Coturnix japonica: one gene and its partner. The protein of the gene in region 2 purifies or fractionates together with the protein of the main gene of each other region. This does not show direct contact. Links are inferred from orthologs where the notes say so. Each region holds a gene or a part of one and is shown on either strand. Other genes may lie near its edges.

Region 1 (4,780 bases), on a different chromosome or scaffold from region 2:
TCTGCATGCATCAGTAGCCCATTTTCCCTTTCTGTTCTGAGTGCTTCCTGCCTCTGTTCACACAGTCTCTACGCCTGCACATTAGGATGAAGGCAGGTCTCCTGACTGACAAGTTCCTAAGAGCCTATTCAACTCCATACAAGACAGATGCAGTAAAAGCTTCAGCTTTCACTTAGTCATCATACTTTGCTTACCTTCTACACAAAGCCTTGCCCTCTCGCTAAAGCCACAGCAAGTCAATGCATCATGTCCGCCTAAGAGAGGAGACATCCCCTTTAGTATGTCACCTTATATATTATGCCAGATGCAGCAAATTAACCGTTTGCTTTGCAGGGATTGACAGGCTTCAGTATCACTGTTTCCTGGGTGACTTTAATTACACTGTCATTTCTGACTGCAGCTATCAGATTAATCCCTTGGGTTTCCCTAACTAATAGACCAAATCCCTGGTAGATAAAGGCTTACGTAATAGAATCTGCGGGGACGTATATTAATGGGATACGATTAAACTAATAAACATATTTTTTGAGTTCTACTGAATGTTTCAGCTCAGAAAAAAATAGCAAATGCATCATTTGGTTGTTTTTTTTTTTCCCCCTTCAGGTCTCCTAAATAAAGGCCAGTTTATCTCAGAGTGGAGAACACCTCGCTACGTAAGGAAACACAGTGGAAGCGTTCTGTCTGCCTGATCAACAGAGGATTAGAACTGAAACACTTCTCATTCACAGAGCTCAAGTGCTTTATCCACGAGCATAAGCATCATATGGCATGGTACATATCCAGCTCATTACACTCAGATCTGGGAAGGTTAAGCAATGCATCCAGACTTACATGGCAAGTCAAAGAGTAGAGCAGGAGGCAGAGGGTACCTCCTCAATCTGAGCCTTGTACAGTGGGTTCAACAAGATGAGTCACTTCAGATACATGGATCAACTAACATTTCTGGGCAAAGAACTGTCGTTTAAGGCAACTGTTGTATGTATCTGTTACACGTGTCAAGCAACACCATAAGCCCTTCATTTGTATGAATATGAAAACACCACATATTGAAAAACTGAAAATATTAATGCGAAATGTATCTGTATCACAGTGTAGTTCATACCCAGGTACAGCTGCTGCTGCTCCAGAATAACCAGGAAGCTGCTCCATCCCACTGTGCTGGTTCCACCACCACTGTGCTGGTGAACTGCTGTATATTCAGACAGCCCAATGCTTTGCAGCACCCTGACTTGGAAGGGATACACAGCGATCACTGCTCCCAAGGCCGGGCTCCACACAGCACCACCCAACCCCTATGGCTGTGAGCGCTGTCCCTGAGCCCTGGCAGTGCTGCTGTGCCCACTGGGCCGCCTGTTCCATGCCCACCGCCCTGTGGGGCCGCTCCTTCCCCCTGGGGGGCTGCTCCTCCATCCTGTGGAGCTGCTCCTTCATGGCAACGGCGGTGGGCGGGGCGAAGGAGCGCTAGCGCCGCTCCGATTGGCTGGCGGCGGGGCGAAGGAGGTGCTAGCGCCGCTCCGATTGGCTGGCGACGGGGCGCTGACGGCTTCCGGCGGCAGAACGGGCGCGCGGCCCGGCGGCGGCGTCGTGAGGTGACGGTGCGGCGGGCGGGCAGGCGGTCGATCGATCGATCGGTCGGTGGCGGAGGAGGGATGGACACGCTGGGCAGAAAGGTGGTGGTGTGCGACAACGGCACCGGGGTGAGTCCCGCGGGTCGGTGGGAGGGAGAAAAGCCATTCCCCCGGCTCGGCTTCCTGCCGGCACGCCCGGTCCGCCCGCCGCGCCCTGTGCGGCCCAGCGGCGGGGCCTGCGCCAACGGGAGGCGGCCGGGAATGAATGGGCCGCGGGCGGCGCTGAGGTGGTCGGGGCTCGCTGCCACCTTCCTGCCCCTGCGATCCGCCACCTTCCTGCCCCCGCGATTCGTAACGTGGAGGCAGGAAGCGGCTGAGAGCAGCGCGGAGACGGCGGAGCCTGGTGTGTGCTGTGTGCCTCCCCCTGAGGAAAAATAGTTATATGTATATATATATTATATTTATAAAAAAGCGTTTTGAATAAAGAAAAAACCGTTCAAAGCCGAGGACGGAATGGCTGAGACAAAGGATGGCGTTGGTAAGGATCCGGCCTCTTGAATTGCGGAGCGTGCTGTCAAGTGTTTGAAGTGAGGAGAGCAGGGATCTGACAGCGCAGCTCTCACGGCCCCGGTGCCTCCTCGTGTTTCTCCCTACCAGGGAAAACGATCTTGAATAGGGCCGAGGGTCAGCAGGGCACTGCCCACTGTATCGATTAGGATAAGAAAAAGAAGGCCTTCCCCCCTCCCTCCACCCCTCACTCCTTTCCCCACCCCCGTTCTCAGTGCTTAATGCTCTCCTTGTCAGGCTTGGCCCAAGAGGCACATGCCCCAGGAGCCCCCTCCATCCTTCAGTGCTGCCCTCCTGCTGGCAGTGCAGCAGTGAGCTGTGCAGCACTTGGCTGGAGCTGGTGACACAGCGCTGTATTGCTGTACCAGCTGGGTGTAAGTAACACGGTGAGGTGCCTTTGTGCTGCTGTTGGGGGCCTGGAGGAGGGGCCAGTGTCACTTCGGCTTGTGCTGGGTTAGATTGCATTTCCCTCCGAGCAAACAGTGCATGTGTGCAGGTATCAGAGTCAGCTCTGTGCAAGAACGAGGTATCAGGACACGGCTGTTCAATCAGTCAGCTTGAAATATGGAGGTCAATTTAGGATAATTAAACCAGAAAAAAATTGTGTTCTTGGCATTGGAAGGTGTTTGAAACTTCAGCTGGGAATTGAATATGTCAAATTAGGCCTACTTTGTCAAAATGGGATTTTTCACGGTAACTGTTTTCATGTGTGACCTCCTTTATATCAAAAGGATTTCTGATATGCCGTGATATGTCATAATTAACGTGCGAAATTAAGTTTCTAGTCAGGTGCCAGAAATATCACATTAAAAACAGAGACTAGAAAACTCAGCTGCAGCTTTAACTTTAAACTTGTCTGGATGCTGCTTTGAGGAAGAGGCGACTAGAAGGAAGTTCTTCCAACATGTAGTGCAGAATGGAGGCAGGCAATGGCATCTGGGCTGCAGGAGTGTGAGAGGTGGGTGTTCTGTAGGACAAGCAGAAAGTAACTGAGTGGCCTGTAACGTTTCTCTAATAGTATTTAGAGGTTTTGTTTGAGAGTTGCATCAACTGAAGGAATCAAACACTGCTCCCCAGTAAGAATATGACTGTGTTCATTTTAAAGCCTGTCACGTGGTGTCTGGGAGCTTCCTCATTCTTTAGTTCGGAAGAACACTTATACGTTCAAGTTCTTGCTGCTCGATGACTCAGTAGGAAGTGAAAGAGCCCGTGCAAACCACAGTGCAATGGAGAAGAAACTATATATGGTAAAATGGTCACACGGGCAGGCAAATGAAGTAGCTGCTCTTAAAGCATTTTGCATGTGTAGCAGGCACTTGCAAAAAGGAATGATGGTGAACTTTGGCTTCCTTGCCAAGAGGTGTATAAATCCATTGAGTGTTGGTTTTGGTGTTTGAGCCCTGGTGTGCACTGAGTGTTGTACTGAAGTCATTGAGCCATGGTGTGCGCTGAGTGTTGTACTGAAGTCATTGCTCCAAGGGCTGCACAGAGGAGGGATGGCAGAGCAACAACAATGCTGTACTTCAGTTTTAATAGAGGGCTTCACATGACGGTAGAGAGAACACTGAGTATTTCATATTTGGCTCCAGAAGATGATTATATTCCAAACTAGCTTATAACATTCAATCAGATGTTTCAAGAGATCTTTTGAAAGAGAGGATGAGCATCATATGTTTCTTCTTCCAAGACAGTTCAGTTACGTGGATGTGTGTTTGTTGCTTAGGTGCATTTATCTCTTATCACTTATCTCTTGGTAGTTTGACCAAGTGTCCTTCTTCAGCCTTAGAATCTGACATTGCTTCATCACCAGCCTCCTAGCTGAGTGCTCACCGTGGTGGTGGGGGCAGTGCTGTACCCTGAGGACACTCAGCATCTCCCACCAGGGGATACTGGCTACAGGGCTGCCTTCAGTGCTCACTGATGATTCATGTGGCCTGGGGAAACAAGGTGGATTTGAAGGGGAGAAAGGTGGAATGAAAAACTTGCCCCTTCTGTTTGGTTAACCACGTAGAGTTTGTAAAAAAAGGTCATCCTTACAGATTCTTGGTTCTAACCTGAAAGGGAGAGACGGGGTTATTCAATGCAAAATAAAATGAGTGAGATTGAGGTGAATGGCTCAGCTATCAGATCTGTGAATTGCCAGTATCCTACTGTTGTGCAATGACCCAGCAAGGTGTGTCAAGGCCTTAGGGCTTAACTTAGGGACTGAAAGTTACATTTACAGCTGAGAGAGTCAGAACTTAGAACAGTATCTTTGTAGCTCAGCATTTTCTAGTTCAGTTTTCTTGTATGTCTGTGTGTGAATCTGTAAACCTTCACTTACACTCAGCTCAGTCCTTCAGAACGTCTCGAATGTTTCCTGTGGTGTAAAACATTTGGGATTTTGGCATGTCCAGGTAGGTGATCAAAAAACGTGGCCCTTTGCTTATCGTAGCAGCTGTGCATTCTTGAATACACAGATAAGATCTGTGTAACTCCCCAGTACTCTTTGTCCTAATGTCAGCAAGAGTCGGTAAGTAGTTGCCTTTACAGAGAACATAGATTGCAACAGAATGAGTGACATTAATGTTATACGTGGTAGTTCTGGTATTCAGAACAGCTCTGCCTCTGTAGAGAGCAAATTCTGAGCCAGGGAAAGAAACGAG
Region 2 (4,019 bases):
CTCCAGGCCCATTCACAAGGCGGTTGCACAAAGCAGCCCGGCGGCACCGAACCCGGTTCTGGTCACGCAAGGGTTAACCGGCTCGCACTTGGCGCGCCGCGACTCCTCCCCAGCCAATCAGCGTGGCGGTCCCGAGCGCTGTCATGACCATATAAGGCAAAAAGCCGCGGCTGCCGCAGTGCCGCTGTGGCGGGCGCGGGAACGCGCGCGCGCGGCGCGGGAAAGGGCGGGGGAGTGACACGTGCGCGGTCCGGAGCCGGCAGAGCCTGTATAGCACAGAGAGACCAGGAGGGGTGAAGTGCTGAGCCCCGGTGTTACGCTGAGCTCCTGCAGCTCTATAGCCGTGCTGACAGCTCCCTGAGGTCAGACTGTAAGAGTGATGCCCCGGGAAGTGGAAGGGGGTTGATTTCCCTGTGGCTGGAGCTACATCAGGTGTTAAACGTTAAAAGCGTATCAAAGGCAAGGTGTAAAAGTGACTGCTTTCATCTCCAGGATATAACAGCAAGCGCCTTGCTGTGGGAACTCAAACACCTGTGCTAAATGGACTCAGAATGGGGGAGGGGAGATGTTGAGGGAGCTGAAGGAGCGAGTGTCATCACTTACAGAGGCAGAAATAGAAGAGGAACGCAGGAAGTGATAGAGCACGGCCCACAGCGTGCTGTGCTGCAAAAGAAATCATCAGGCTGAGGGATTTAAGAGCAGCAGCCCTCAGCAACCAGCCATGCCTCAAACCTTGTCATATGGGAACTTGAAAACAGGGTTGGAATGTGGCTGAGAAGACAGAAGTGAAACCAAAGGATAGCAGGAGGAATCACTGAATAAATGAAAATATATATATATAAATAAAAAAAACAACCTACCAAATAATAACACATAGCAAGGGGAAAATAGGAGCCTGTCCTGGCAGGGCAGTGCTGCAAGGCATGCAATGCCACAGCAACTGAGCAAGGGGCTTCCAACCCAGGTCTGTGCTCTGGCACCAGGCTTGGGGAGGAGCAGGACATGCAGCTCCAGGGCAGCACAACCCAGAATGTCTGCAAAGAGCTGCTAAAGAGATGAGCAAAATGCAGAGCTATGTAAGAGCCTGGGGGCTGGCTTGCTTCGTTAGAGCTAGCAAGGCAGAAGTGAGAACTCGCCGCGTCTGCTCCTGTGATGCACTCCCCATCAGAACGCTGTATTCACTTCTGGCCACCACTGCTATTTATAACAGGGCAGATCTGCACACAGAGCTAAGAAAAAGGGCTGATAACAGACAGAACATTTGAAGAGTACGGCTAAGAGAGGCACGAGGGTCACAGACAAAACGTTACTAAGGAGGAATAGTAGCTTTTCTTTTTTCCTCATTCACACGAGTACAAAATGCCATCTTAAACAAGAAATAGGAAGGTTTTGAAAGAACAAGGAAACACCAGGAGCTGCTGGAGCACAGCACAGAGCAGGCTCCCTGATCTGGTGCTTCTCTGTTGGAAAGAACCATTTATCTAAAGGGTTACGAACCCAAATCTAACTGCTTCTGTAAAGCAACACCATCCAAATGCTGCAGCTCTAAGTTTGTACTAGAATCAGTTTGTATCCGTATTGGACTACTGACTCTATCTAACATGGCAAGAATTTACACTAAATGCATAAATGAAGCCAGGCATGCGATTTTAGAAGCATCAAACATGCAGAATTGAGGAGAGCAAGAAACGTTCTCAATACAATCCTCTATCATTCCTAAGGACGTTTATTTCCCTTCTACCTCCATCAAGTTATCCCTCTTACATATTGTACAGTTTCAAAGGAGAGAAAATTCCTGTGGAAAGAAATTACTCAGATGAAGTAATGCATTTAGGTTTGATGTTTCTTGCTTTTGTTTTTTAACTACGAACACATGAAGGGATTGGGGTGGCCAAGAGCCTGTCAAAAGATTTGCAGGGTAGCATTCTTGTAATCTGACTGTGGTAAAAAGCAGCACATCAGAAAAGGGAGAGGAGAGCAGCACTCTCCTCTGCAAGGATGAAAGATGCACTGTGGTTTTTCCACGTGATACCTGGGGGCAGAACGAATTTATAGAATTTCTTTCAGTCTGAGATGCTGCTCCTGCTCTTCTGTTTGCTTTTATACCGTAACATTATGAGACTGGCAGGGAGATTTCCATGCCAATCTATACAGCCTCCTCCAGCTATTTGATGCAGCCATTCTTGTAGCTGGTGGGCAGCAACCCATCCTTTCTGTGTGCTTTACAAAGCATAGGCCTGAGGAGCTACAAAAATATTCAAAGGAAAGGGAAGTAAATTGTACATACAGCCTCACTGTGGGATTATTTCTGGAGACTGAGCAGCATTTGGCACAGAGAATGCAAGGGACAGGCTCAGATGAAGCAATGCTTCTCTCTGTGTCAGGTACTAAGGACTAGCAAGACCTGGCTGCAGCATCAGGGCCCAGACACAGCCACACAGGCTGGGTGAGCTGCAAGAGTGCTGTGATGGCCCTGGAGCTGTTGTCTCACACCATACAACAGAAGTGTAACGACAGGACAAGCAGCAGCCAGACCAGCAGCACCATGGTCACAAGGGCTGTGCATACGCGCTGCATGGAGCAGCATCCAGCTGTGCCACCCACTCCATCCCGGTCTGAAGGGAGCATTCCTGAATTTAGCAACTCTCAAAGCTCATGGAGCCAAATCCTGATGGCAGAAAAGCCTGTCTGCAGCTAGCACAAATGGAGAGGCTTTAAGAGGAGCACGAGTTCAACTCAGAAACCTCTGACATAAAAGATTTGTTTTAGATCAGTCAAGCCAAACTACTTATTTACTGCATTTAATGCACAGGAAGCGTCCTGACTCCAGCAGCATTACATGTGTTCTTACACAGCACAACCGAGCAACGTTTGTCACAACACAGCAGAGACTTCACAGGCACTGAAGTGTCAAGGGAAGGCTGAGCATGTTAAAAGTGAGAAACCCAGCAGCACTTACCTTATGCAAAGGCAGCACCAGGAAGGCCCCGCCGCCGCTCGCATCCACGATGATGGCAACGAAGGAGGGGTTGACGGCGCAGAAGGTGCTGTCCCAGGTGACCCGTGAGACACGGATGTCATCGTAGCACTGGTCGTTCTTCACTGCCTGGCCAAACACATGCCGGAATTTGCTCTGTCGTACCACTCGCCTCATTGTGTCTGTAGAGAAAAGGAATAGCAGAAGGTGGTTAACAACGTGCAAGGATGTGCTGCTTGTTAGAGGGCAAGTCAAGGGCTTGTCACCTTGCTGTCACCCAGCACCGCCGCTACACAATGCAGCTTCACACACTGCTGCATTCACAGGAAGCTTCCTGTAGACCTGCTAAGTTCTCGAGCTGCTTTACACTTAACAAACAGCACAGGTTGCTTCATCCTTGACACAACCAAACCGCACATTCAAGGGGTGTTTTGCAGCAGGAGCTCGCTGGTTAAGTGTCAGCATTGCCATCGCAGACGCTCATTCTACAGCAAAGGAAGTCCCTAATCCTAAAAGCAGTTTTTAGACAAGTCTCCGCATATTTTCAGGGATAAATCTGGGCTTGGATTGAACTTGTTTACTTTCAAGTCAGACAGGGTCCAGAAGATGTAAATAAAAACGCAAGCTCTCAAAATCCGGTGTTCCTGTGAAGTGGTTCCACATGTCAGCCAGCTTCCACTTCTTTCTTCTCAATCCAAAATCTCACTAAAAAAATAATAAAATTAAGTTTCCTAGGCAGAAAGGAGTAATGGAAACAACCTAATGACTCAAATTAACTTAGCGTGTCTGTAGCACTTCTCTTGAGAAAAGGATTTTCAAGAAGGTTTGAGTTAAAATAGAGGGAAACTGACCAGCATGGAAAATTCCAGTGCTGGATGAAGACTCAGGTATGGGACCAAGTGTGAACCCCAGCCCTGGAAGCAAGTATCCATGTCCTTCCTTGCTTCACAGAACCTCCCCATGTGGAAGCAGTGATGGGAAAGCCACTGTGCTTTGCAAAGCTTCTACCTGCAGACCCAGGCTGATGCCATCACAAGGTTCT

Evidence for each region.
Region 1: the proteins of CORO1C (region 2) and ACTR2 fractionate together in Homo sapiens (co-fractionation; 3 studies listed by BioGRID and IntAct, with this or other methods). This does not show direct contact. The link is inferred for Coturnix japonica from reciprocal best matches to the Homo sapiens genes CORO1C and ACTR2.

What each region holds. Positions count from the first base shown.
Region 1 is NC_029518.1:1,512,436-1,517,215, reverse strand, and holds the start of ACTR2 (actin-related protein 2), read left to right. Parts: upstream 1-1,535; 5' UTR 1,536-1,649; coding exon 1,650-1,697; intron 1,698-4,780. UniProt on the Homo sapiens protein: ATP-binding component of the Arp2/3 complex, a multiprotein complex that mediates actin polymerization upon stimulation by nucleation-promoting factor (NPF).
Region 2 is NC_029530.1:5,697,257-5,701,275, forward strand, and holds part of CORO1C (coronin-1C), read right to left. Parts: intron 3,160-4,019; coding exon 2,960-3,159; intron 1-2,959. UniProt on the Homo sapiens protein: Plays a role in directed cell migration by regulating the activation and subcellular location of RAC1. Increases the presence of activated RAC1 at the leading edge of migrating cells.